7 linked regions of the Danio rerio genome follow. The protein of the gene in region 4 purifies or fractionates together with the protein of the main gene of each other region. This does not show direct contact. Links are inferred from orthologs where the notes say so. Each region holds a gene or a part of one and is shown on either strand. Other genes may lie near its edges. The genes, in order: stx8, bet1, vamp3, napab, use1, stx6 and stx16.

Region 1 (4,182 bases), on a different chromosome or scaffold from region 4:
TCAAACTAATTTAGAAAATCTTAGTTCTCAATGATACTGCAAAACAAACAATCATAAAGAAGTCATTATAATCCTAATTGCTGGATTCAACTTTCTTGGTTTTGTGAAGCAACTACACAGAACTACAGGACAACCCCAAAACATAGTCAATTCTGAGTGTGATTCATACAAGTGAATGGGCTTGACAAACCACCTGTAGAAAACACAGTCTTTCATCTCTCTGACACCTAACCCTAACCGACACTTCAATCAGTTTGCACATTTGCACCAGGCACGTTCTTACAATCACTTCATATCTTTAAAAAAAACTATGCATTCATGAAGTGTGCCTCACACAGGTAAGTGGGCTTAACAAACCACCTGTAGAAAACACGCTCTTTCATCTCTCTGACACTTTAAACACCACATGCATCAGTTTGCACATTTGCACCAGGCACATTCTTACTATTACTTCATATCTTTAAAAAAAACTATGCATTCATAAAGTTTGCCTCACATAGGTAAGTGGGCCTAACAAACCACATGTAGAAAACACACTCTTTCATCTCTCTGACACTTTAAACAACACTTGCATCAGTTTGCACATTTGCACCTGGCACATTCTTTCAATCACTCCATATCTTAAAAAAAAACACTATACATTCATGAAGTGTGCCTCACACAGGTGAGTGGGCTTGACAAACCACCAGTAGAAAACACACTCCTTCATCTCTCTGACACTTTAAACAACACTTGCATCAGTTTACACATTTGCTCAAGGCACATTTTTACAATCACTTCATATCTTTAAAAAAAAACTATGCATTCATGAAGTTTGCCTCACACAGGTGAGTGGGCTTAACAAACCACATGTAGAAAACATGCTCTTTCATCTCTCTGACACTTTAAACAACACTTGCATCAGTTTTTGCACATTTGCACAAAGCAGGTTCTTATAATCACTCCAAAAAACACTATACATGTAGTACCTGTAAAAACACCTTTCACTCTCTCTCAAAAAAAGAAAAATAAACTCCCTCCTCCTAATGCTGGCACTTAATTCTCTGGCCACAAACAGTCCCTTTGTATTACTGGCACTCCTTGACTGTATTGCTTCTTCAATCGCTGAATGATTCCTCAATTGTAAGGCGCTTTGGCCTCTGTGAAATGAAAGTGCAGTCAAGTAAATGAAAGGATACATATGGCGTTGAACAGCTGCTCGATTCAGAGTCTCTCTGAGTTGTGCTATATTCTGTTTTAGCTTCTGTAATGATGCTCTCAGGGTCATGTTGATCTACATGGATGGAAAAGCAACAAGAGAGATTATTATATTGTGTAAAAGATTGGTTAACTATCTCATGTAAACCAGGGGTCTCAAACTGCCTGGCTGTGGGCCATTTGTGGCCACCCTCCTCCTTTTTCTTTCAGCCCGAAATTGACATGAAAAATATAATGAGATTCGGCCCAACAAAAAAATATATTTTTTTAGAGTCACTATCTTTGTGCAGTTGCATATAGCCTCTTATGTTTTTGACCCCCACCTACAGGACATTTAAAGTACTGTACAATATATGCAGGTTACTTTCTGTTTCTCTCAGTGTGCAGTTGAGAGTAATGCACATGCAGATTATTTCTGGGGCTAATGTAAAAGTTGAAACATATGTCTGTACGTGCTCTATTTTTACAAACACCTCTTCAAGGCTTACACGTTATGTTAGTAGTGTAAATATGATTATTTTGCTAATATTCAATTCAAAAATGTATCCTTAATATATTTTTCTAATATGCATATTAAGAATTGTATAAAAAATGTGCATTAGTAAAATTTTACTGCTGGCTAAATTGCACATGTTAAAGTAAACGTGAATACATACATAAAAACGTTTCCTCTCTTGTAGTTTAAAAAAAAAAGAAGGACATTGAGAAGAACAATTGCCAGTACAATCAACAAAGTTATTCAAACTCTTTTCTGATGTTTTACGCTATCGGTTAAACATCTGGTAAAGCAACAATTGATTGGGACATAATTATGATTATTATGCTTATATAATGTGGTATTTTCATAACAATTTAAACAACCCCTTCAACATATACAACGAGAAACTAAAAGGAGTTTTGATAAACTGGGGAAGAATGTATGAGTGTAAGAATGTATTACATCAGATTTCCACTTTTTTCTTGTGCTTCATATGAATCGTCAGTCACTAATATGGCCCCCCGCCATTGAGTTTGAGACCCCTGATGTAAACAATCAAATCCTGCCTTGCCTTGGCTGGGTTTCCTCCAGTCCTCTGCTGTCTGTTTCTTTCATGGATGTTTTCTGCAATTTCTTGAGCCAGCCTACAAGCTGCATCATAATTTTCTAACCTGTAAACAAAACACAGATTACACTTATCAAAATCTTCCAATGGGGATCATGAGATAAGGGTTTCCAGTTATTTAAATCACAAGGTTGTCATCAACACAATCATGTGACAATCAAATGTCAGCTAACCGGCTTGGCAACCTTTACAAGACGCGTAAAAACAGCAATATGTGAACGAAAACATAATTGATCAATTAAAGTATAGGGTAAAATGAGCCCTGGGGAGTAGAAAAAAAAATAGATAAATTAGTCTAGCGTTAAAGTTAAACTGATCTGACTGTCAGTTACAGATGCACTAAATTAATAGTGTTGAAGTCTGAAGTCTAACGTACTGTCCTGACATGCAGATCTAACATGACAGTAAATAATAATAGTATAGGCACTCACCAAAGGTCTTTTGACATGTTGCGGTACTTTTGTTTCGAGTTTGCAAAAAGCGTTTTAGCAGAAACTCACAGCAAAATCACATCAACATAAACTGCGCAGTGCCACTTCCTGTTAAGGAACGACGTCATACGGTGGCCTTTCATAGACACACTTCATACGGTAACCGATGTCTCGTTGTGTTTGTCCTGCGATGTCTCTTTTTATCAATGACAAAATTGCTGATTATGTAAATAAAGTGTTATTGAACTTCATATGGAAGAATAAAACCCATAAAATTAGAAAATCAGTCTCATCTAATAGGCGCTCAGAGGGTGGATTAGAGGTTTTAAATTTCAAAGATTTAATTAGGCATAGCTCATTTAGAATTAATTGGCTACAAAGATGTCTCCGTAGTAATAATTCAATTTGCTACCATATCCCCAATGTTATATTTGATAAATTAGGTGGCTTAGACTTTCTTTTAAAATGTAATTTAATCCCTTCTAAATTGCCAATTTCCCTCTGTAATTTTCACAAACAAGCTTTACTTGCTTGGAAATTGTGTTACGTGCACAATTTTTCCCCACACAAAGAAATTCTTTGGAATAACTCTAATGTCTTAACTCGTGGGAAATCTCTTTTTATTGATAAGTGGTTTGAAAGAGGAATTGTTTTTGTTTTGGACTTATTTTAAAATGATGGCAATATTTTGGAATATGAATAATTTATGACATTGTATAACTTCTCTTTGCCAGCTTAATCCTTCAACTGTGTTCTAAAGAGTTTGTCACAAAGTTATGTGCATTTATTTAAGACTTTTGTTTACTTTAATGAGAGGGAAACAATTATGCCTGAACTTTTTTTGGATGGAGTGTCTTTTTTTGATAAAAAATGTGACAACAGACATGTCAGACGATTGTTACATTCCTCTGTATATACCACCCCAAGATGTAAATTTTATGGTTATTACCTGACAAATTCAGCATATCCAACAAAATAGGAGAGATACATTTTAAGATCTTGCATAATGTTTATCCTACAAATTCCCAAATTGCTAATTATTTTGATATATCTAATTTGTGTACTTTCTGCAATATACATGAAGAGACTTTATTTCACTTATTCTATAGTTGCATTCACATTAAACATCTTTGGAATTACATTATTTTTTATTTATCATCCATTTTTAAACATGATTTAAATTTGTCTATAAAAGATATATTTCTGTATTTCTTGGATGATGATCATGCTCTCGATCTTATTGTAATTTTGTTTTTTGTGTTACTCTGTAAATTTTTTATACACAAAAACAAGTTTCTAAAAACAATACCTATTTTAATACTTTCCTTGTTGAAATTTCGTACAATATTGAATCTCTTAAGCTTATTAATTATAATAATAAGAAGTTTCTTAAAGCTTATGACAATTTTTTTTCTTAATGATTGAGGCTGTGTATTTTTTTTTCTCTCTGT
Region 2 (4,224 bases), on a different chromosome or scaffold from region 4:
ACCTTCTCCTGTACAAGAAACATTCAGGTCAGGTCAAATCCAACGGAATTTAAAAAAAAAAACATTTAAAATCAAGTATTTAGTACTAAAAATAATAAATCTTATTACAGTAAACTGAAATGTTGCCTTAAAGAACTGGTTCACGACAAAATGAAATCTGTCAATGTTTACTCGCCCTTTAAATGTTTCAAACTAGTAGCTAGTGTTGTCACGATACTGGAATTCAATACCAATCGATACTGAAGCTTAAAAAAGCATCCATCTCTTGCTAAGATTTAAACACTGTTGATTACGTTCTTAAACACAGCTGATTTGCCATTGTGTTCACATGCTCAACAAAAATGACTGTGATTGGCAGTGAAGGTCATTAGTTCACCAATCTCACTGCTGTTCACTGAGTGTAAACACAGATACAGACACTGGAGCATTTAAAAGCCGCAATTCATCAGCAGATCGCTTGTATGTGAAGTTATAGACAAACCAGCTGATTGACGTGACTTTAAAATGCTTGTGTCCCTGTATCTGTGTTTACACTCAGTAAACAGTGTTGAGTTTGGTGAACTAATGACCTTCACGGCCAATCACAGTCATTTCTGTTGAGCATGTGAACACAACAGCAAATCAACAGTGTTTAAGAATGGGCTCAACAGCGCTCAAATGTAAGCAGGAAATGGACGTTTGTAAAATTTCAGTACCGATTGGTATCGAATTCCAGTATTGTGCCAATGCTACCTGTAACCATTCACCTCCATAGTAGCAAAAACAAATACTATGGAAGTCAATGGTTACAGGTTTTTAGCTCTGTTTAAAATTTCTTCTTTTGTGAAATATAAAAATTGTTTGGGGTGACTATCCCTTTAAGAGTAATTGACAAGTATGCACTGATTTGATTGATCAAATATTCTCTAAAGTTGGAAGTGAATTTGAAAAACCTAAACAAATAAGATTGAAATGTTCATCAGAAACTATTTAAAATCGAAAAGTAAAAACTCTGGATAAAATCTTGATTGTCTACATGAGACAAAATGTTGAAATTTGCAAAATAATGAATGTTTTTTTAAATTAAAAGGTAGATTATTTGCTTGGTGCCTCATTTTATCAAGTTTAAAATGGGTTTTATTTGCTTTATCAATCATACTTTACTGTTCAAATTAGTGCTGGGCCGATAAACAATATTATATCGAATCACAATAAAATTTTTGTCAATAACAATGACAATCTCTTGACTTTTCTACTCTATATTGATCTAAGAGCAAATCACACAGCAGAAATGTGCAACAATGGGAATCCAAAAGGGTGTTGATATTAGAGATGCACCGAATTTTCAGCCACGGAAATTTATTGGAAAAAAATGTTCTGCCATCTATTGCAGGGGTTCCCAAACTTTTCAGCCCGCGACCCCCAAAATGACAATGCCAGTGACTCGCGACCCCCAATATCATCTGAGGTTGTTATAAATACAGAAACCTTGCATGCAATGGTGCACACACGCCAATACACCCAGGTTTATTCTTTGTGTAATTTTTTAAAATGTATCTCAGTGCTGTAAATGGGCCAGAAAGTTTAAGCAGGTATAAAATCAATCTGCTGCATCCGATGCTATTGCTGTGTCTTTAATATTATGTAATTACTACAGGGGTCACAATCCAATAGAACTAGTAACTATAAGTTATTATATAGTTTATAGTAACTCTAAATGACTTTTTTTCTCTTCAGTAGGTTACAATATGGTAATTCCGGTTTAATAAAAATAAATAGATGTTTGGAAATCCCCAGGCGACCCTTCCTTTCATTGTCCTGCGACCCCTCAAGGGGTCCCGACCCCTAATTTGAGAACTACTGATCTAATGGACTCTTATTTTTGTGGCTTCAGTCAATGTTAAAGTACTATTTTAAATCTGGAAGCATTGCCAACTTGTATTGAAATATATGATGTTATGCTTCATATGGAAAATAATTAACGAGTTTGAATTCTTTTTTAATATCGCCCAGCCCTACTTCGAATAGAAGGTTTTTTAATTTCAGCTTAGATGTGTCATATTTATGCTGTTACAGTATCTCGTGTTGTTCATACACAGAAGTTGCTTTTCTGTATGATATAAATATATATGTAAACATGATTAATAAATAACGCCACTGACGTAAAGCTGGTTTTAAATTCACACATTCGAACTTTCTCCTTAATAATATGATTTCAGAAAAGTATTATTTGGAAGTTCTAAATAGGGAAATTATATTAGCAGACTATTAAAAACATTGTTCACAGTAAATTATATAGTGTTGTTTTGTAGTCATACTTACACGTGATTTCAGTCCGAATATTCAAACTAGCATAAAGGTAAACAATACAGGGAGCTGTCACAGAACAAATGTTCGAATATAAAAACAACTTCACCTCAATAACAACGATGGTGAAATAGAGAAATAGGAGTTGCTAGTTACTGCAAGAACGTTAATAAACGTTATTTATCCATTTAACGTTAACGTTAATTCTCCACACCTGGATTTAACGTTAATGTGTGGGTGATGATTTGGTCATTCAGAGATTGCTTACTGTCATAAACTGTGACCAATAACGTTAAGTTTTCTAATTGAGTTGAGATTTTAGCTTAGCATAAGCTTCAAGCAATACGACACATAAAAACGCAAACTTACCCAAACCAGCGCGCCTCATTGTCAACCCAGTAATCTATATGACGTGGATACGATCACTGCAGTCTGTAAAATAATGTGACAAATATTCGCTAATGTTGATATTTAGAGAATCTGTACTTTCCCCCTCCAACTTCACAAGCGCCACGACACCTCTTACGGAAGCCGCAGAGGATTAAACGATACGCGTTTAAGTTACATGGGCTTCTGGGTACTGAAGTTTTTACTGCGAGTATTGCGGTTAATTCTTGTCTTTATTTGTCATAATTCTAACATTTTCTTCAGCAAACTGTGACTTCATTTCTCAAAAGTAAGTTGACACGACTTGCAGGGTTAATTTAATTGAAAAATTGCAAACAGCTGTAGACTTTCTCACAGTTCAGACTCTAAGACAAGTCAGATTTTCAAAAATCTGTGACACTATTATTTATTTTATAGAAAATGTATAGACTTTCTCTCAATTCTGAATTTATCTTCATTCTGAGGTTCTTTCAAAGAACTGTTTTACTTTTTATAACTGATAGTACAAAGCCTTATATGGGAGCGACATGGTGGCTCAGTGCCTCACAGCAAGAAGGACGCTGGTTTGAGTCCCGGCTGAGTCAGTTAGCGTTTCTGTGTGGAGTTTGCATGTTCTCCCTGCGTTGGTGTGGGTTTCCTCCGGGTGCTCCAGTTTCCCCCACAGTCCAAAGACATGCGGTACAGGTGAATTGGGTAGGCTAAATTGTCCGTAGTGTATGAGAGTGTTTGTGAATGTGTGTTTGGGTGTTTCCCAGAGATGGGTTGCGGCTGGAAGGGCATCCGCTGTGTAAAAACTTGCTGGATAAGTTGGCGGTTCATTCCGCTGTGGCGACTCCGGATTATTAAAGGGACTAAGCCGACAAGAAAATGAATGGAATGAATGAGTTTGCATGTTCCCCCATTGTTAGTGTGGGTTTCCTCACAGTTTAAAAAAACTTACCCAGACTTTAAAAGAAACAGACTATGAGCAAATGAGTTTAATAAACACTGAAAAGTGTTTCACTGACTATATATACACAAATATTTTTTTACATTTAATATGCAAATTTTTGAATATTCATTTCTTTTTCAACAATATAAAATTGAGCATTTCATCTCAATGTTTGCGACGCGTTGGCACAGTGGGTAGCACGATTGCCTCACATCAAGAAGGTCGCTGGTTCGAGTCTTGGCTGGGTCTGTTGGCATTTTTGTGTGGAGTTTGCATGTTCTCCCCGTGTTTGTGTGGGTTTCCTCTGGGTGCTCTGATTTCCCCCACAAGTCCAAAGACATGCGGTACAGGTGAATTGGATAAGCTTAAATTGGCCATAGTGTATGTGTGTGATTGAGTGTGTATAGGTGTTTCCCAGTGTTGGGTTGCAGCTGGAAGGGCATTCGCTGTGTAAAACATATACTGGATAAGTTGGCAGTTCACTCCGCTGTGGCAACCCAAGATTAATAAAGGCACTAAGTCAAAAAGAAAATTAATGAATGAATCTCAGTGTCAAGAAATGCTTCTAAATCATTACATTTACACACATTTCAATTTTGTGTGGTGTGGCATTATTTAGT
Region 3 (4,115 bases), on a different chromosome or scaffold from region 4:
AGAAAGCTGTAGGTCTAATATGCCAAAAAAAATATTGCTGTTTTTAAGGGCTACAACCTAAGAGGCCGATCACACTGAACGCGCATTTACATTCCAAAAACACAAGGATGCTCTGCACTGCCTTTTTGTTGACAAGAAAAAAGGAGCACACTGCGCTTTTTTTATGTTGCTAGTCAAAGACTGGATCAGCTGGGTATTTTGCGAGAGTGTTGCAGTTAATATTAATGTAACGTTATTTTCAGGCTCATTGTTCACGTTAACACTCATAATGACATGACTTGGAATAACAAAGACTAAGGCCCCGTTTACACTAGTGCGTTTTAGTTTTAAAACGGCGTTGTAGAATGAAAACGATCCGCATCCACACTAGCGTTTTACCCAGCGTTTCTGAACTGCTCTCCGTCCACACCAAAACGCTGAAAACGCACATCACGTGACCACACAGACACACTTGGGCAAGCGCTCCAGCATTTCTACCCAGATGAGAGCTCTGCTTGTCGGACTGCTCATCAAGCATCTCCCGCTGGATCTAATCTCACTATATTTGCTAAACGTGATATTTCATTCATGTTGTTGTCTTTATCTAACGACATAGGCCAATTCCCTGACTTTGGTCATTGGAATCTATTAACTTACTTGTTCACGGGTAACATGTTTTGGTTAAGCGCAAAGATAAGTTAATGATTAATCCAGGTACATTGACTGATCGCTTGCCTTTATTTCCTACAATGTATAAACTTATTGTATGTTATACTTTTATAATTATCGATTATTAAAACTGATATTCAGCAAAAGAGAGGGTGCGTTTCGTATTTTCACTGAAATTGAAAGGAGGCAGTTGTTATAAGGCTCCGTTTTGTTATAAATATCCACACAGTGAAGATGACGCTCATATATGCAACACAACGCCTCAACATTTCTGCTGTCTGTTAAGTTGCTAATATTAAAAAGAAAATAGGCAGTTCCTTAAATCATGTTTATATTTTATTGTTGAGAAAGTGAAACAACGTAGCCAAGGTGATGTGAATGAAGTTATAAAGTACACTGTTCCCTTTGAAGATTTACGCGTGTCCTCGGTATGTTTTCCATATCAAACTGAGAAAGGGGAGACTGCAGCCTTGATCAAACTTGCGAAGTCTGAACTTACAAGAAGAGGATGCGAGACTGAACTGTGTGTGGGCTACTTAATATTGAGGAAAAGCCCCAATCAGATAGGCAAACGTTTCCAGCCCCGCCTCCGTTTTCAGATGTCTCCGTCTTTCCCCATCCACACTGAGACGGAGCAGCAGCATTTTAGAATGAAAACGGCCTCTCCAGCATTTTCAAAAAGCTCTGTTTTCGGCGCTCGAGAACTCCGGCGTAGTGTGGACGGATGGCGTAACCGTAGCAAAACTTATGCGTTTTCAAACTAAAACGCACTAGTGTAAACGGGGCCTAAGATTCTTCTTCCGTTTTATCTCATAGTTTTATAATGATTGATATGAGCATATTAATACAAGCTCAAATGAGATTGTTGTGAATTTGACTCAAAATATATAATGGTTGCTGGTTAAATGTGTTAATTTTTTTACACAGAGTATATTTTCCATCCATACATCCACTTTAAAAAGTTCTTTTGTCAAAGATTTGTGGTTTTATCAAGTTTTAAGATGATTGATCTGTATTTTCTAAAAGAAGTGCAAATTAGATTATTGTAAATTTGACTAAATAGCAAACTTTAAGAATTATTTTTAATGTGTTAATATGGGATTTTGTCTATCAGACAATATCTTTTCTATTCTTCGCTGCAAAATTATTACATCATTATCAGTATTACATTCTATTAGAGATTATTTTATTGTTTTATGATAATTGATAAATATAAATAGCAGAGCAAATTCATTTTACTTGTCAATTTGACTCGATAATAATTATTTTAAAAATCTGTTTTGTGTTAATCTGACATGTTTCTGTCCGATATTACATGTTCTAAGCATACTGCCACTATAAATAAAAGATATGTTTTGAAGGATTTGGCATGTGGCCCTTTACTTGGTTTGCAAAACGTGAAGTGGCCCTCTGGTCTAAAAAGTTTGCCCACCACTGGATTAACAAAACTGATTGAAGAACAATCATTTGTGAAGCTTGTAAGTTATAACTTGTTTGTTGATTAATTTGCCGCAGCTTTGCCAAATACAAACTACATCCTTTTAACTCACTCAAAATTAAAATAATTGTACACTTAAAACAAAACAAATATGTTATTATAATGGTGATATGTCTGTGGTTTGTGTATGCTTAATGTCTAAAGTTTCCACAAACTTTTATCAGTCAAAACAAACTGTAAGCAGTTAGCATGTAAGTTAGCGCTAATGCGAACATAAACACAAATCTCTTTTAAACACTCAAACGGACATTAAACTTCACTTACGGTGTCATAATCAACTATCCCAAATAAAAGCAACCGAAAACAAGACCGAAAGTAAATTAAAGTAAACAAATTGTCAACAAACTGAAGCTAAAGCTAAGCTAAAAGCTAACCTGTTGCTTTGGCCGTATTCACACCCATTAGAACACAACACAAACTTTCCCAGCACATCAATATTTAGGTATTAAAAAAAAAACAAAAGCAAAACATATATCATCACATGTTCATATCACATCGCTGAGCTAGTGCAATTTTAATTTTACTTACATGGTTGTTGAGTTGATGTGTGATTTGTGAAGGCCCGCTGATGATGATACAACTGTTATTACTGTGTAAGCGAGTGAGCGTCAGCGCGCGCGTGCACGTAGAATATAGCTCACGCACACACACAGTGAAAGTTTTCCCCATCATATAAGTAATTTCATAGGTTATAATAAAAATATACAGTCATTGTAAAACTCTCTCAATTCAGTTCAATTCAAAAACTGCTTTATTGGCATGACATGTTACAAATATATTCATTCATTTTCTTTTCGGCTTTGTACTTCATTAATCAGGGGTCGCCACAGTGGAATGAACCGCCTACAAATGTATTGTCAAAGCACTAAAGTTTACATTAAAAGAACATACATAATAAATAGTTTAAAAACACACTAAACACAGTAAACAGTAGTAGTAGTAGTAAAATAATAATAATAATAATAATAATAATAATAATAATAATAATAATAAAGATGATAATAAAAAATAATGATCTAATAATCTAATGATGATAATAAGATCTCTATTTCTCTCTCTTTTTCTCTCTATTCTTATATTAAGACTAGCAAAAATGGCAATATACATTAGTATAGGAGGAACAAGATTTTGTGTGAGACCATTTATAAAGTTGAACTTATTTTTAAAAGGCTTATTAGAGCAAGAATTAGACATGATTTTAATTTTTATTTGTCAATGAAAGAGTTGAACAAGTTTGAAGACATGTGGAGTGTAAAAAATGTTGTGTTGGGCTGAAAATAATGTATGGTTTTTGATGAAAATATTGTGTGATTTAGAAATTTGTTTAAATCAATGAAACATGTTGTAGTTTAATTTTTTATTAAATGAAGGTGTATTCAATTTCAAAATTTTCTCTCTCAAACAAACACACACGCACACACAAACACAGATAATTAAACTACATTTAACAGCTATGGAAAAAATTAAGACACCATTGGTCTAAATTTTAATATTTTTATTTGAAAATTTAAACATGCTAATCACAAACCTTTTGTAGAATAAACCAAATATTAAACCTTTAATCAAACACATACCATCGAATATTTATATATACCTAATCATTTTATACAAATATAAATTAAATTATTGTTTTGCTGATAAGTAAGGTGTAGTGTCATCTACACTATTTGGTATAAATATATATATTTTTAATTATAAGAAATTAGCCTATATAAAGTATGTACACACACACACGCACGCACGCACCACGCACGCACGCACGCACGCACGCACGCACGCACGCACGCACGCACACACACACACACACACACACATATATATATATATGTGAATATATATATGTACATATATATATATATATATATATATATATATATATATATATATATATATATATATATCAGAATTCATTATATATGTAAGTCAGAATTATTAGCCCCTCTGAATTATTAGACCCCGTTTATTTTTC
Region 4 (3,932 bases):
AAATACATCAAATAAACTTACTTGGTATTTTTCACTCGTGACCTTATTTCAGCCTTATCCCTGTCTCTCTCTATCACTGACTGCTGTTTATCTGACGTATTTATCTGACGCAGGAGAAGCTGATACGCAATGTCAGAGTGGTGGGCGGGGAGAAGCAGTACATTTGCACTTAAGGAAGCTACAATTGCAATCAGAATTATTAAACCCCCAGAATTTTTAGCCCCACTGTTTATTTTTTTCTGATACATCTTGTCTGTTTAACGGAGAGCAGATTTTTTCAACACATTTCTAAACATAATAGTTTTAATAACTCATTTCTAAAAACTGATTTATTTTCTCTTTGTCATGATGACAGTAAATAATATTTGACTAGATATTTTTCAAGACATTTCTATACAGCTTAAAGTGACATTTAAAGGTTTAACTAGGTTAATTAGGATAACTAGGCAGGTTAGGGTAATTAGGCAAGTTATTGTATAATGATGGTTTGTTCTGTAGACGATCGAAAAAATATAGGTTAAAGGGGCTAATAATTTTGACCTTCAAATGGTTTTTAAAAATTAAAAACTGCTTTTATTTTAGCCAAAATAAAACAAATAAGACTTTCTCCAGAAGAAAAAATATTATAAGAAATGCTGTGAAAATTTCCTTGCTCTGTTAAACATCATTTGGCAAATATTTAAAAAAGAAAAAAGATTCAAAGGGGATTAATTAATTCTGATAGCAACTGTACATAATCCTCAGACACTAAAATGGATAGATTCTACATCGGGGGTTGGCAAATTTGGTCCTGGAAGGCCAGGGTCCTGCACAGTTAAGATCCAACTCTAATCAAACACACCTGCTTATAGATTTTTTTCTGCTTATAGATGTTTGACTAGTGTTGGAGCTCAACTATACAGGACACCAGCCCTCCAGGACCAAGACTGCCCACCCCTGTTCTACATTATATAATAAATAATCTGATGGGTATTCGAACTGAAATTTTACAGACACATTTTGGAGACACCACAGTCTTATCTTACATCCATCTAAGGTGCCATTTAATCAGGGCAGTTTTCTACTATAGGGGTAGTTTAGAGATCTGAATATTAAACTAAAACTTTAAAGCATCAGTAATGCATCATATTTACATTTAGAGAGCATATTGGAGTATTACGTTCTATTCAAGATTCCTTATGTGTATTTAAAAAGGTCTTAAACCTACAGAAACTGTTATCTATTTCACGTAATAAAATCGAAGAGAAAGTATACGTTAACATTATATTGAAACTTTCGTTTATATTTTCCAGAACAACAGACCACAGAGTTAAGGGATCAGAAAAATATCGCTCTGTAAACATGTTTTGTACTTTAAATGAGAATAAACATGCGTTGTGGATGTGACAAAAAAAAAAGTCTGCGGGTTTACACTTCCTAATCTGCAATAGCCTCTCTGAATATCACACTAACTGTACCCAAAAAAAACAAATACTAATACTACTAATACTTTCCTTCTTAGACTTTACAGACCTGAAACTTGCCTATAGCACTTATTCATTGTTGCTCTTAGTTGTGTAAATTGCTTCCTTGTTCTCATTTGTAAGTCGCTTTGGATAAAAGCGTCTGCTAAATGACTAAATGTAAATGTAAATGTACAGTACACAACATACTTTGTAGAACTTTTGAGAATTAAACTGCACAACCCAAAAGAAGCAATGCTAATCAAACTGCTATAAGTTGGCTCTCTATAAAACAAAAATGATTGGTTTTATTTAATTTAATATTTTTACATTTATGAGAAAAAAGTGTCGTTATGAATGTGACATCTCTCCGTTATGAATGTGACAGATGTGAAATTGCCACTTGTGTGACTTTGGTAAATAGAATAGTTTGAAAACATCAACAGATGCATTTTTCTGTATTTCTAAAATACTGTAAAATACTTACTTACACAAAAACCCAGAAACGGTTCTCGTATTTTGGTAAAAACCTAATTTTTCTCATGGCAAGGTTGACATTTGCACGTAATTGCTCATATCCATATATATCATGTATGATAAGTAATAATTTAGTGTGTTTTTTTTTTGCATTAATGTATTGCTAATTATATGTTCCCTGCTGTTATTAGTTTGTGTTTTCTCAGGTTAATGTGCTGTTTAAATAAGTCCAGTGATGTTGTAACTTGTTGAAGTGAAAGTCAGCTGACAACTAGCAAAGCATTCAGTCACATTTCAGTCTCGCCGCCTATTTCATAATCAGTTTTATGGAAACATTATGTCAGGTCACAAGACAAGAAATGACAATTCGCTCTATATGTATTTGTAGATTCAGATTTAGATATATACAAGATAATGCTGACAATATATTACGTTTCTAACAGTCAAACTTTGCGCCATTTAACGTTATGTTATATTACGACTTCTCAGCGGGGAAAAAGAGATTAAAGTAGCTTTACAGCTTTAACATACTGTATGGGTTCACAATTCACTAACTAATAATCTTAAATGGCGAAACAAAACGTTCTTTGGAGTTTTTCCACTCTGAAAATAACTTTTATTAAGTTCGTTTTTGACAGCTAACTCACTAGCATGCTAGCTGTCTGTTTACCCCCGGCTGGCCTGTCAGAACTCAGTTATAAAAGTGATAAAAACCTACCCAAACAGGGAGCCAAAGAACGACTGCGAGGATTTGACTTTTTTCTCGGCTTCTGCCATGAGAGCCGTGGCTTCTTTCTCCTTACCGGTGTTATCCATGAATATTGTTTACAGTTCAACTTTAGCAGCAAACTCTGGAATCCAGCCACATCAACACATCTCTGCGGAAACCTCCAACATGTCCGCCTGCCGCTTAAATTCAAAATAAAAGCTCAATTTCATTATTCATTCAAAAGCAATTATTTATTTGGTGTTCGATCGAGTTCATTGTTAATATTTATTATAATAAATTTTTTTAAACAATTCTTTAAAATATTATCGTAAATTTTATAATTTACTTTTAAAAATTGGCCAGACAATTGGCCAGAATAATTTCATTTGATCTGATTTAGGATTACTCCATGATTACAATATTGAAAATATAGATTTTTTTAACTCTTTTTAGGTTAAATCATTGCTACTGAGTTGTCTAAAAAGTGATATAATGTCTGAAAAAGTTATAAATTACAATGGCATCAGTACTCCATAATTAATAATGTTTACATCACATTATTATTATTATTATTATTATTATTATTATTATTATTATTATTATTATTATTATTATTATCATTCATTCATTTTCTTTTCTGCTTAGTCCCTTCATTAATCTGCCACAGTGGAATGAACCACCAACTTATCCAGCATATATTTTACGCAGCGGATGCCCTTCCAGCTGCAACCCACCACTGGAAACGTCCACACACACACTCATTCACACACATACATTATGGACAATTTAAATTTAGCCTACCAATTCACCTATAGCGCATGTCTTTGGACTGTGGGGGAAACTGAGCACCCGGAGGATACTCACGCAAACAGGGGGAGAACATGCAAACTCCACACAGAAATGCCAACTGACCCAGCCGGGGCTCAAACCAGCGACCTTCTTGCTCTGAGGCGATTGTGCTACCCATGGAATGAACCGCCAACTTATCAAACATATGTTTTACACAGCTGATACTCTTTCAGCTGCAACCCACCAATGAGAAACATCAATACACACTCATGCACACACATACGGCCAGTTTAGCTAATTCGATTCACCTATAGCACATGTCTTTGGACTGTGAGAGATAATTTAGTATTATTCCATGATTATAGTATTGAAAATATTAATTTCTTAACTCTACTTAGTTGCCAAAAAATAATATAATGTCAGAAAAAGGTTATAAATGGCAATGGCAAATGCATGATTAGTTTGAAAATTTTACATTAGTTTTATTATTGTGAAATTAGGATATATATCATAAA
Region 5 (3,968 bases), on a different chromosome or scaffold from region 4:
AGTCAATGTCTGTGGTAGTTCATATCAAACGAGACATTTCATAACTGCTGTAGAAACATTGCTAAGCTAGCTGTTTTTAGCTTTCAAGCTAATATTGATACATTGAGGCGTTTTCACCCAATATATGTATTTTTTGTAATACATTATGGCTCAAAATTACCTGGGACTTTTTTTGAGGGCGACAAACATCTCCTCGAGAGCACCGACATACTTGAAAAGACAAAAACAAAACAAAACATACAGTTTTTTTTCAAATCAAAGTCAATTGAGATTTCTGTGGGTTTTTTTTTTCAATCATATGTAAAGAAAACATCCGAAAAACACATTTAAGTGTTTCTTTTTCTTCACTTTATCAATTTGTGTCTTTAGATTTCAATTACAACAGATATTTTGTAAAGGTTTATATTGGGGTAAAGTTGGTTGTATATTCGCACATTCATTCATTTTTTAAAGGTGACAATTTGTGACATGATAATTTGAATATTCAGTCTGAAATTGACTTCAAAACAACATTAGCACTATTTAATTAATTGTGAACAATGTCGATGATTTTTGATCGTTATCGGCTGGTAATGTGATTTTACTATTTAGAATTTTAAATTATATTAACATAGTGAATGTCAGAATGTGCAAAAATAAAACCAACTTTACCTCAATAAAGCTTATTTCTCAAAATAAATCTCCACTTCTGCAGCACTAACCTACAACACACTTCAAATATTTACAAAAATGTAAAAAAGTATTTAATTTTCTGTTTGCATTTTTTTCTGAACTATGGAGTGATCAAGTACACTATAAAAAGTGATTTTTTTTACTTCATTTTAAAAAAAGTGACTAAAATCTGCATAATTATGAAAAAGTAAGTCAACCTAACATTTACAACGAGTTTAGTTACTTTATTTTTAAGTCAATTTGTTTCTTTTAAGACCATTGGTTTACTCGCATTAAGTAACTAAACACTTTTAAACTGTAGAGAAACCCAAGATTTATCCAAAGTAAGATTTTTGGCTAGATAAATATGCAAATTAATGCAGATTTAAACAGAACTTTGATAAAAATTGGTTTAAAATTTTTTAAAAGTGTAACATTTTTGATCTGTTTGCAGTATTTTCTAAACTATGGAGTGATAAAGTACACTGTAAAAGTCATTAGTTGACTATGTTAAAAAATTTAGTAAAATCTGCATAATTCTAAAAAAAATGGTTAAGTCAACTTAACATTTAAAAGTTACGACAGATTTAGTTATTTTATTTTTAAGTAAACTCAACTTGCATCTATTAAGGCAGTTTGTTTACTCGCTTTAAGTAACTAATCACTTTTTAAACTGTAGAGAAACCCAAAATTCATCCAAAGTAAGATTTTTGGCTAGATAAATATGAAAATTAGTGCAAATTTAAACACATTATTAAAAATGTAAAAAAGTTTTTAATTTTCAGTCTGTCTGCAGAACTTTTTTAAAAATATATGGTGATCAAATACACTGTAAAAGTGATTAGCTGACTTCATTTTAAAACAGGGAGTAAAATTTGCATAATTCTAAAAAATTAAGTTAAGTCAATTTAAAATTTACAAGTTACGACAGGTTTAGTCATTTTATTTTTAAGTAAAGTGAACTTGTTTTGTTTAAGGCAGTTGGTTTACTTGCCTAAAGTAAACTAAATACTTTTTAAACTGTAGAGAAACCCAAGACTTATCCCATGTAAGATTTTTGGCTATATAAGTATGCAAATTAATGCAGATTTAAACAGAAAATTATTTTAAAAATATAAAAAGTATTTAATTTTCCGTCTGTTTGCAGTATTTTCAACTTGTTTTGTTTAAGGCCATTGGTTTACTCGTTTTAAGTAACTAATCACTTTTTTAAAACCCCAAATTTATCCAAAGTAAGATTTTTGGCTAGATAAATATGCAAATTAGTGCAGTTTAAACAACATTATTTAAAAATCTGTAAAATTGTAAAAAGGAATTTTATTTTCTGTCTGTTTGCAGTGTTTTCTAAAATATGGAGTGATCAAGTACACTGTAAAAGTGATTAGCTGACTTCATTTTAAAAAGTGAGTAAAATCTGCATAATTATGAAAAATTAGGTTAAGTCAACTTAACATTTACAACGGGTTTAGCTACTTTATTTTTAAGTAAAGTGTAAGGTCAACTTATTTCTTTTAAGGCCATTGGTTTACTTGCTTTTAATCAGTTTTTACAGTGTAGTGAAACCCAAATATTCATCCAAGTAAGGTGCAGATTTTTGTTCTACATATATATGCAGATTAGAGCGAATTCAAACATAACATTATTGAAAATGTCTGTAAAAATGTATAAATTTGTTGATGTAAGTTAATCAATCAGCTGTTGAAGTATGGTGATACTTATTATTAATAATGTTTTACCCCTATCCACCTGCAGTGTCTTGCCTTCTATAGACATTTTTAAATACCGTCCTAAGTGAAGAAACAAAAAGCGGAGTAAAAATGATTAATTTAAAAAGAGATAATTGATTTGAATGCAATAATACGTGCCTTGTTTTGACACGTAATCCACATTAGACATGGCGTTGGTATTATTGCTGTGTTGTTTTCATGCAGAATATTTTACAGTCGGAATATAAAGCTTTTTAAAACATATATTATTACCTTTTCTAGTCTCCATTCTGTCTCGGCTCTTTTCTCTGAAGCCAGCGATTCACAGCGCGACAATAATCTGACGAAATTAATCTCCAGTCTGGACGTGGCCATATTTGACATTCAAAGCGGAAGTAGCGCGACTTTTACATTACAAGGTGGAACAAACAGGCAAATGAAGAGTCCTTCTCCGTGCCTTGAGGCATTTTAAAAATCATTAAGCATGTGAATGGGGCGGTTTGACGATTTTATGACCATGTTTTATCAATTTTGGCTACATTAAAAGTTCAAACTAGCTTTCTATACCGTTGTGTTTGCTTCAAATAACCTGAATTATGTGTTAGCCTTAATATACTGAAATAATGACTCTTATACAGTATAATTATCACAATATTTGTAAACATAAAGGCATAAATTCACAATTATATAATTCTAAATATATAATTCATATTCACTGGCTGTGTATGATTAACTTAGAGTTGTGAGTACAAGTTACTTGAGAAATTTAAGGTAATCAGTTTCCACACATTCTTCTAGTAACATGAACTAGCAAAAAACTGAACTGTTTTATTTGAGTTATCCGTATTAAGCCTAACTTAGACCTGTAAGTCAGCTGAACTTGTTATACTGAGTTGACTGTACTCAAGTTTTAGGTAGTCTTTACAAATAAAAAAGTTACCTGAACTAAGTTATAGTAGCTTGTTCAAATCAGAAATTATGTATTGATTTACTTGAAAATTCTGCGGTAAGCAGTTCCCACAGGTTTTCTAAGTAAACTCAACTCATTACTTTTTTACAGTAGTAATTTACTATTTAAATTCTATTAAAATAGATTTGTTTAGATCTAATATCATATGATCTTTGTAAATTTTTTCCCCCCTAGATTTATATTTTACATAAAAATCAAATTTGTATTTGTTTCTCATATATCTCTTTGTTTGGAACTGTTATGCATAGAAAGCAAGTGTGACTGGAAGATTTTTTTTAACCATCTTTAACAGGAAATTTACACAAATAAATAATGTGAGATCAAAATGAGTAAAAGCAATAGTGTTTAAAGCAAGATTTATCCTGGACAGTAAATCAATGTATATATATTATATAACACACTTATGTTGCCATATATGAGTTATTGTATTGAAATTTAAGGGAATACATACCAATCTAATTTACGATCTGTATGTAAAATGCCGAAACAAGTAATTAGACTGAAAGAAAATGTGGGGTATTTGGAGCATACAAATTCTTTTTTTTTTTGTAAATTGAAGATACTTGTTCAATGATTTGGTTAAATTTAAAAAGCACAATTTATGTTTAAATCTAAGAATAAATTACTTCCAAAATGCAGAC
Region 6 (4,031 bases), on a different chromosome or scaffold from region 4:
CCAAGTCCCATTCAATGGACCTCAAACTGTTTCGTAATTCGTTGGTGGTCCAGTCCACTTCCTCCTTGCTGGCTCCACCCGCGTCCTGTAGCAGCTCTATCCATCTCTGATGAAGACCTTGAGCTGTGTTTACAGCCTTCTGCACCTCTCTAAGACAAATACATTCAATTAAGCCTCAAGGTTAATTGACCTACTACAATGTAGACAAGAATACTACAGAGTGTGCAGATAATTATGAAAATTATAAACATATGATCATAATTGTTTTTTTCCAAAGAGAATTTGACCAGTTCTCAAATACATCGTTCTTAGCCAAATACTAAAATATTTTACTTGTAATTTATTATTAATAAGTGTTATTAGTATTATTATTTAGAATAATTATTATTAAATTGAAAATTAATAGACTGTCTGATGTGTATAATCATTAAGCAGGAAAATAGCCCATAAAAAAGATGCAACTCTCACTAAAAAGTCAAAAATAATGGATGCGATCCTATAAAAAATGTGATAAATTAAAGGTGCTGTGAAGTGCTTTAAAATTAGCATTTTGAATTTGATTTCTTCGTTGTAATCTGAAATAAAATTCATGAAGACAGGGTGGGACATAGAGTAGCCCCTCTCCTTTATAAAAAACATCCAAGAGTGTTTCGTTTTTAATCACAGCTCTGCCAGTGAGAGTGGTTGATCTCAAAAAAGATGCATCAATGGATAAAGCAAATGAAAAGCATCTTGAGGGGGGTGGGTATGTCAGACACTAGAGAGTATTTGATTGGTCAGAATATTTGATGAGAAACTACAATAGATAACCCCCAATAATATAAATCCCCACTTTATAAAAACCAATAGCTGAAGTGTTATACAATACTGATTTCTTTTAAGGACAGCTTATGTATCTGTCTTCCTCCTGCCCTAGTTAGTATTTGTCGTTCAATAGTAATACCTTAATTTTACAGGTTTATTAATGCTGTGATCTTCTTTTGGTCGTTTAATATATATACAAAACGAAGGGCCCAAAAAGGAGGTGTAACATTGGGAAAATATATATATATATATATATATATATATATATATATATATATATATATATATATATATATATATATATATATATATACATACATACATACATACATACATATATATATATATATATATATATATATATATATATATATATATATATATATATATATATATATATATATTTTTTTTTTTTTTTTTCCTCCCCAATGTTACACCTCCTTTTGGTCCCTTCGTTTTGACATGTCAAAATAAACCTGCTTCATAAATATGCACATCTAAATATAATTATCTTACACCCCCAGTGCTTGTTAAAAAATTACACGTAACTTATTAATGATTATACACAATATCAATACTAGGGCTGCACAATATATCGTTTCAGCATCAATATCGCAATGTAGTCATTCGCAATAGTCACATCGCAGGTTGTGCAATGTTGAGTCTGTAGTATAATCTATCATTTTCATGTTTTTTTGGACAGTAGGATTTTAAAACCAGAGGCATAAAAAATTTTACCATTTGTAAGTTAACGTTAGACGTAAAAATGATAAAACACTGTTTATTTATCTTTTTTTATTGTTTGATCTATGCTTGTGGATAGTTTATTATAATTATTGCAGATGCACTTTTCTGCAGAATCATCTGAATCAGATAATTATATCGCAGAATAACTAAATATCGCAATGTTAGATTTTTCCAATATCATACAATCAACACTTAAGAAGTGTGAAATCGGTACAATTAAACAATAATTATGCACGCACTTTATTACAGCGCCTAGACTGCAGTTCTGCACAAGACGTTTGGCCACAGGAGAAACGGTCGTGCTCAACTGAGCCTGGTTTCGCTCAAGTTTTTTTAATTCTTCACTTTCGCCAATTGGTGAAGTTTTTTTCCCTTGCCACTGGCTTGCATGGTTTGGGAGCAGTGGAGCTGCGCATCGATGGATTTGCTTTTCAGTGTTTAAACTCTCAGCAGTAAAAATTAAACCACACTGAACTGAATGGACTGAACTAAACTGAACTTCAACACAAAAATAAGCTGACACTGTTTCAATTTACTATAATCTTCTATGTGAAGCTGCTTTGACACAATCTAGATTGTAAAAGCGCTATAGAAATAAAAGATGAACTGAATTGAAAGGTTTTACTATGATAATGCAATGCTTTTGGATGTCTGACATGGAAAAAACTATGCTATTACGTTACTATCCAAAAGCATACCATAATATGTATCCCCAAAAAGTGACAAACATGGTAACGTTACATATTTGTAAATCCTAACTTATAGCAAAACGCAGATGTCTGGCAACCCAAAACAATACCACTTTAAAGGGAAGACGACACAAATATCGATTAACGCTATGAAGCGTTTGAGAAAAAAATCGATAATTATGGTTGCCATGACAACACGATAACGATCTTACCGAAACAGCTGCTTTAAATGGTGCCGAGTATCAACGTAGGACAAGTCAAATAGCTAATGTACGTAAAGTTTAAAATAATTAACGTTACTCCAATCTGATTCCTGAAAGTGTCTAATTCGACATCTTATATTCGCCCCTAGTCTCCGATCTAAGCCCTGAAACTCACCCTTTCACCACGAAAAACGGATCTTCCATCGACATTTTGCTGCTCAGATGAGTCGATGAGTGGGGTGCGATAATCTCATGCTCCTGACCGCGGCTGGTTTAGCTTTACTTGGACAAAGGAGAGCGCTTTACGTGTTGTTTACATGCGGGACAGAGCCCGGATCCGCTCAGCCGCCATTGCCCGGCGGAATCACATCCGGGTCCTCGAGCGTCTAGACACACGCACGCGCCTGGGCAGATAAACAGCAGCACGGGTTGTTTTGGTTTGTTGAAGTAAAAGAACAAAGCGTTGCCACTAATATGCAAAATGCCTAAATATAAAATATACTTACGAGATATTAGTTTAATTTAGATAATGCTTTAAATATATGTTGGTAGTCAGCATTCTGTCTATTCATCATCCAGGCAATATTATGTAAAGTAGCTTACCATTATTATTATAATAAATCTACTATATGTAAATGTTTACGTAATTGAAAGCTAATTTATAGTTTATGCGTTAAACATATGCTGGTATAGTTGGTGGTTCATTCCACTGTGGTGACCTCTAATAAATAAGGGGACTAAGTCGAAGGAAAATGAATAAAGGAATTTATAACATACTAAAATATTGAACCTACGTCCTCAAAATTAAATTTAACTGAATCATTATACACCGACTTCAAAATGATTACCTTTTGATTTGCCACCAAAATTAACATAAAATAAGAATATTATTATTCACAGAAAATTCACAGTAAATAAAAAATAAAATCCATGTTTTCAGATCTTAGATATTTTGAACTATTGTAAAAGCACACATACATATAGTCCTCCTAACATTTATATATGTGTGTGTAGCCTTTTACGTATGTGTACAATAATTGTATAGTAACATAAAAATGTAACAGGCGACATGGTGGCTCAGTGGTTAGCTCTGTTGCCTCACAGCAAGAAGGTCACTGGTTCGAGTCCCTGCTGGGCCAGTTGACATTTCTGTGTGCAGTTTACATGTTCTCCATGCCGTGTGGGTTTCCTCCGGGTACTCCGGTTTCCCCCACAAGTCCAAAGGCATGCGCTAGGTGAATTTCATAAACTAAATTGTTTGTAGTGTATGTGTGTGAATGTAAGATTGTATGGATGTTTCCCAGTACTGGGTTGCAGCTGGAAATGCATCCGCTGTGTAAAACATATGCTGGAAAAGTTGGTGATTCAGTCGCTGTGGCGACCACAGATTAATAAAGGGACTAAGCCAAAAAGAAAATGAATGAATGTGTGTGAATGAGTGTGTATGGAGGGTTCCCAGTACTGGGTTGCAGCTCTAATGCCAACAGCTGTTCCAAAACATATGCTGGATAAGTTGGTGGTTCATTCCTCTGTGGTGACCACTGATTAATAAAGTGACTAAGCTGAAGAAAAATGAATGAAAATGTAT
Region 7 (4,060 bases), on a different chromosome or scaffold from region 4:
TAAAAATGTAGGAATAAAATTAATACATTTTACTTTCTATGACATTCGGCAACATTTGTTATAACAAACGTAAACAAATCTAAATTTTACAGTGACTGTATATTCGATGAAAGTAGGGCTGCACAATATATCGTTTCAGCATCGATGTGGCAATGTGTGCATCCGCAATAGTCACATCTCAGGATCTTCAATGTTGAGTTGAAATAATAGTTGATTATAATTAATGCAGTGTTGAATTATAATGGACTCTTTAAAGAGATAGTTCACCCAAAAATGTACCTTTAATCACTATTTTCAAAAGTTTATGTGTTTCTTTTTTATGTTGAACACGAAAAGAAAATATTTTAATAACTAGGGTTATTATTAGGTGATATTATTAATTAATCTTACGATACTATACCAGCTGAAGTGTCACGATACCAAGTAGCATTGCGATACTGTAATTAATAACTCAAAATAAATAGAAATTGTCAGAAATACTATATATTATGTTATAATAGGCCTACTTGAATGTAATTCATAATTCCCTTAAGGCCAAAAAGTATTATTTGCACCTCAAGTTTGTTCATTCTTTTTGTGTATTTTGTAGATAACTGGCCAACAAAAACACATTAAAATAAAGATACAAATTATACCAAATTAAATCTGTTACAAAAGAGCATTTTTCCAACAAAATTAGGCTATATGACGTGGTCAAAAATAGTTTCAATGTTTCCTGTTGCTATTTTGGGTTTTTCATCTTTGTTTTTAGTCCTCTCAGGAAACAACTCAAAGTATTTCAAAATTTCATTTTGTGAGTCGTTCTTTTAAAGAGATTGTCGTGGTAGCTAATCATATTAATAGGAACAGAAATGAACCGATTTAAATGTTTATTCAAACTGAAGCGTTAGGAAACGTGCAACAGGCTACCATAAAAGGCACATTTTCGACACAGTTTGGCAATCTTAAAGGGCTCTACAGACTATTAAAATAAATGGTTTATTGTTGCACAAACGTGCAAGCGTTTTATTGACTTTTTCACATGCAACGTTGTCTATTGTAGATAAACCATAAATGACGATACTACCGTTTACAAACTACAGTGGCACAGACAGTATTTTGGAGACATAGTATAGCGATAATACCATAGTAAACCGTGCAACTCAATAAATAACTCTTACACGTTTGAAACAAGTAAAGGGTAAGTAATGAGTACTTTTTCATTTTTGGGTGAACTATGCCTTTAAAGCCTCTGACTGTGTAAACTTTTTAACATTTCAGAGTTTAAAACATCCAGCCACAAGAAAAGTTAGTGTTTGTAAATTTATTAACGATTACATTATATAGAATAAAGACTATGCAATGTTGACTGTTCAATTATCTGTACCTGAATACTGTTAAGACTCTCCAGAAAACTAGAATTCACTTATATATTTGCTGTATTTTGATTACCTAAGCTTGTAAGTTATTTGTTACACATTATTCGAGATCCAATCACCCCAATTAAACTAAAATGAGGAATTCTTTCCAAATAAAACTGTATTCACGTAACAAAATACAAAATATCGCAATGTTAGATTTTCCCAATATCGTGCTACTGTGATTGAAAGCATGTGAAAAGTTCATGTGTATGCTTTAGATCACAAAGAAAAACTATTTTAACTCACGATGACTCACTGCTGTTGAAAAGTTAAGGAACTTATGAAAATGTATTTATTCTTGCGTTGAGCAAGGATGGATTAAACTAAAGCAATTCTAACCATGGAATAAATCAATTTTTCAAAATGCTATCAACATTAAACAGTAGCTTAAACTGAATTTGAGTACACCATTCAGTTCTGTATTTTCTAACAATGGTCATTAATGATTAATATTTTAATTCAATTTTAAAAAGTAAACATACATCATCATACAATAATATGTACTAGATAAATCAGTTAAAGAGCGTCTCCACATTCTTATTTAGCTCCAGACAAACATACATGCGCCTTCATACACGAACATATAAGCTGTATACTTAAGGAGTGGGCGTCATATTTTAAAAGACGAACCAATGATCTAAACTAGCACGACCATCACCTTTTAGTCAAGTCAAAGGCATTCTCGTGTGCTGAGGTAAATCAAAATGCGTTGGTTTGACGGTCAGCTAGCAGGTTCACACACACCTTCCAGCTCCTCTCACAGCAAACAAAACAAGTTGAGGTTTGTTGGACAACTGACAGCGCCGGTTGACATCAACAAACATCACTAGCTAGGGTTGTTTTCTAAGAACAACTAGCTAGAGTTGTTTTCTCTGAATCACACGTACAACCACACACGCCAAAACAATCAATTCAGACAATGAACGTTAGACTCACCGCAGCATTGCTACGTGTATTCAGAGTACGACGGGGGTCGTATGTACTCACTTGCTCAGCCAAAATCTGCCGGTTTTGGATTGCATTGTTCCGCATTAATAAGAAGGCATCGGTCAGTCGCCGAGTTGCCATGGCTATGCAATAAAAGGGGAGCGAAAAGTGAAATAACTGCGGGCTGCCTCGATGGCTGTCTCTAGATTAGTTACTCAGCTCGTCGCCAAGGCAGCTGCGGCTACTGAACTAGCGGGCTAGCCTGCAAACCGAGCAGCAGGCTCGCCCACTGACCCAGCGCCTCCGAGCTCGAGAGAGTTCGGCTCTTTTTTAGACCAACGCAGTCCCGAGTCTGTATCCCGTGAAGTACCAAAACATTACAAGGCCGAAACCCCGAGTTTTCCGCTCGGTTTGGGGAGCAAATGGATCATGTCTGTGACTTCCGTGACGTGGAATACGTAACGTGACCTCACGCCGAAACTTCCGCTTTGGACAATGAATATGCAAAAATCGAATTCAGTATTAAAATACTTAACCTTTTCATATTTGCAGCTTAATGAACCTTTTAGTTTTATTAGACGACAGCAGTTTTGTAATATTTAAGAATTAATTACATTCGAATTTTATTTTATTATTTAAAAAAGCAACAACATGCAAAAAAAAAGCCATCAGCCTTTAATTTTGTCATAGGATAATGTATTAGATTAGATAGTATGTTAGATTAACAACACAGACTGATTTTATAGCACCAGGTTAAACTTTCTGACTCCTTTATGGTAATCAAATACATTAAAAATAAATACAGGCCACAACTGAACATTGAGGATGATCTTCAACATTAAACCATTAGACTTGTGCTGGTGTCAACCAGGCTCATTGAGGTGAGATTAATGTTAAATTAAACAAATGAATCAATGATTATTAAATTATAGCCTATGATTGTTAAGACTGTTGCACTTTTTATGTTGGCAATATGCTCATGTTACTATAGGCCTGTTTTTGTGTGTGCAACATTTGTATATTTATAACCACCTCTGAGAAATATTGGGGTCGCGAGTCACAGGCATTGTTATTTTGGGGCTCGGGGGCTGAAAAGTTTGGTAACACCAATTAAAACATCCTTAGCATGTAGTAAAAATTTAATTCACAAGTGTTTTTTAAAAAAAAGACTTAAAAAGTCATACATTTGACATAGTGACTGACACCTGCAGAAACCATGGTTGTGATGTTCCATTCCACTGGATTTTTATAAATATCTGTTTTAAAATACATGACTCTCTTCTTTTTTGTACTATTATGGTTACATCAAAATGAGTAGACTAAAAAGTAATAATTATTAAGCCAAAAAATGTAAAACCCAATTATGTATACACTATTTTTTATAAAAGAACATGTGCAAATAAAAATACAAATTTATGTCTTCGCAGACTTTTCGTCTTTGCATGAACTTTGAAATTTACAAAACAGTAAGTGCATTTCTCAAAACAGCACATACAAATGGCAAAACAGCATGGATTACCCGCAAAAGCCAGTCTCTTGCTTAAAATCTTTAGTTCATCTCTCAATATGTCAGTGCCGTCAGAATGACAAGTCCTTGTGTACAGATAAGACAAATGACTTACTCGTGTTGTCAATATAACTGTACTCTGTAGGGATGTTCTGATATGGCTAATTTAGTTAATTTTATTGCGATTTGTACTGTGATTTGTTGCCAAATCATGTCATTGTGATAC

Evidence for each region.
Region 1: the proteins of napab (region 4) and stx8 purify together in Homo sapiens (affinity purification with mass spectrometry; 4 studies listed by BioGRID and IntAct, with this or other methods). This does not show direct contact. The link is inferred for Danio rerio from reciprocal best matches to the Homo sapiens genes NAPA and STX8.
Region 2: the proteins of napab (region 4) and bet1 purify together in Homo sapiens (affinity purification with mass spectrometry; 5 studies listed by BioGRID and IntAct, with this or other methods). This does not show direct contact. The link is inferred for Danio rerio from reciprocal best matches to the Homo sapiens genes NAPA and BET1.
Region 3: the proteins of napab (region 4) and vamp3 purify together in Homo sapiens (affinity purification with mass spectrometry; 3 studies listed by BioGRID and IntAct, with this or other methods). This does not show direct contact. The link is inferred for Danio rerio from reciprocal best matches to the Homo sapiens genes NAPA and VAMP3.
Region 5: the proteins of napab (region 4) and use1 purify together in Homo sapiens (affinity purification with mass spectrometry; 3 studies listed by BioGRID and IntAct, counting the BioPlex papers as one, with this or other methods). This does not show direct contact. The link is inferred for Danio rerio from reciprocal best matches to the Homo sapiens genes NAPA and USE1.
Region 6: the proteins of napab (region 4) and stx6 purify together in Homo sapiens (affinity purification with mass spectrometry; 3 studies listed by BioGRID and IntAct, counting the BioPlex papers as one, with this or other methods). This does not show direct contact. The link is inferred for Danio rerio from reciprocal best matches to the Homo sapiens genes NAPA and STX6.
Region 7: the proteins of napab (region 4) and stx16 purify together in Homo sapiens (affinity purification with mass spectrometry; 4 studies listed by BioGRID and IntAct, with this or other methods). This does not show direct contact. The link is inferred for Danio rerio from reciprocal best matches to the Homo sapiens genes NAPA and STX16.

Annotation. Positions count from the first base shown.
Region 1 is NC_133181.1:25,761,364-25,765,545, reverse strand, and holds the start of stx8 (syntaxin-8), read right to left. Parts: upstream 2,801-4,182; 5' UTR 2,749-2,800; coding exon 2,732-2,748; intron 2,347-2,731; coding exon 2,247-2,346; intron 1,274-2,246; coding exon 1,179-1,273; intron 1-1,178. UniProt on the Homo sapiens protein: Vesicle trafficking protein that functions in the early secretory pathway, possibly by mediating retrograde transport from cis-Golgi membranes to the ER.
Region 2 is NC_133194.1:43,532,860-43,537,083, forward strand, and holds the start of bet1 (BET1 homolog), read right to left. Parts: upstream 2,801-4,224; 5' UTR 2,675-2,800; coding exon 2,656-2,674; intron 9-2,655; coding exon 1-8. UniProt on the Homo sapiens protein: Required for vesicular transport from the ER to the Golgi complex. Functions as a SNARE involved in the docking process of ER-derived vesicles with the cis-Golgi membrane.
Region 3 is NC_133186.1:42,677,926-42,682,040, reverse strand, and holds the start of vamp3 (vesicle-associated membrane protein 3), read right to left. Parts: upstream 2,801-4,115; 5' UTR 2,677-2,800; coding exon 2,675-2,676; intron 1-2,674. UniProt on the Homo sapiens protein: SNARE involved in vesicular transport from the late endosomes to the trans-Golgi network.
Region 4 is NC_133193.1:47,631,645-47,635,576, reverse strand, and holds the start of napab (N-ethylmaleimide-sensitive factor attachment protein, alpha b), read right to left. Parts: upstream 2,801-3,932; 5' UTR 2,736-2,800; coding exon 2,638-2,735; intron 1-2,637. UniProt on the Homo sapiens protein: Required for vesicular transport between the endoplasmic reticulum and the Golgi apparatus. Together with GNA12 promotes CDH5 localization to plasma membrane.
Region 5 is NC_133197.1:10,727,768-10,731,735, forward strand, and holds the start of use1 (vesicle transport protein USE1), read right to left. Parts: upstream 2,801-3,968; 5' UTR 2,733-2,800; coding exon 2,631-2,732; intron 211-2,630; coding exon 161-210; intron 1-160.
Region 6 is NC_133197.1:16,196,146-16,200,176, forward strand, and holds the start of stx6 (syntaxin-6), read right to left. Parts: upstream 2,801-4,031; 5' UTR 2,654-2,800; coding exon 2,619-2,653; intron 150-2,618; coding exon 1-149. UniProt on the Homo sapiens protein: SNARE promoting movement of transport vesicles to target membranes. Targets endosomes to the trans-Golgi network, and may therefore function in retrograde trafficking.
Region 7 is NC_133181.1:52,356,396-52,360,455, reverse strand, and holds the start of stx16 (syntaxin-16), read right to left. Parts: upstream 2,801-4,060; 5' UTR 2,469-2,800; coding exon 2,337-2,468; intron 2,226-2,336; exon of another isoform or gene 2,059-2,225; intron 1-2,058. UniProt on the Homo sapiens protein: SNARE involved in vesicular transport from the late endosomes to the trans-Golgi network.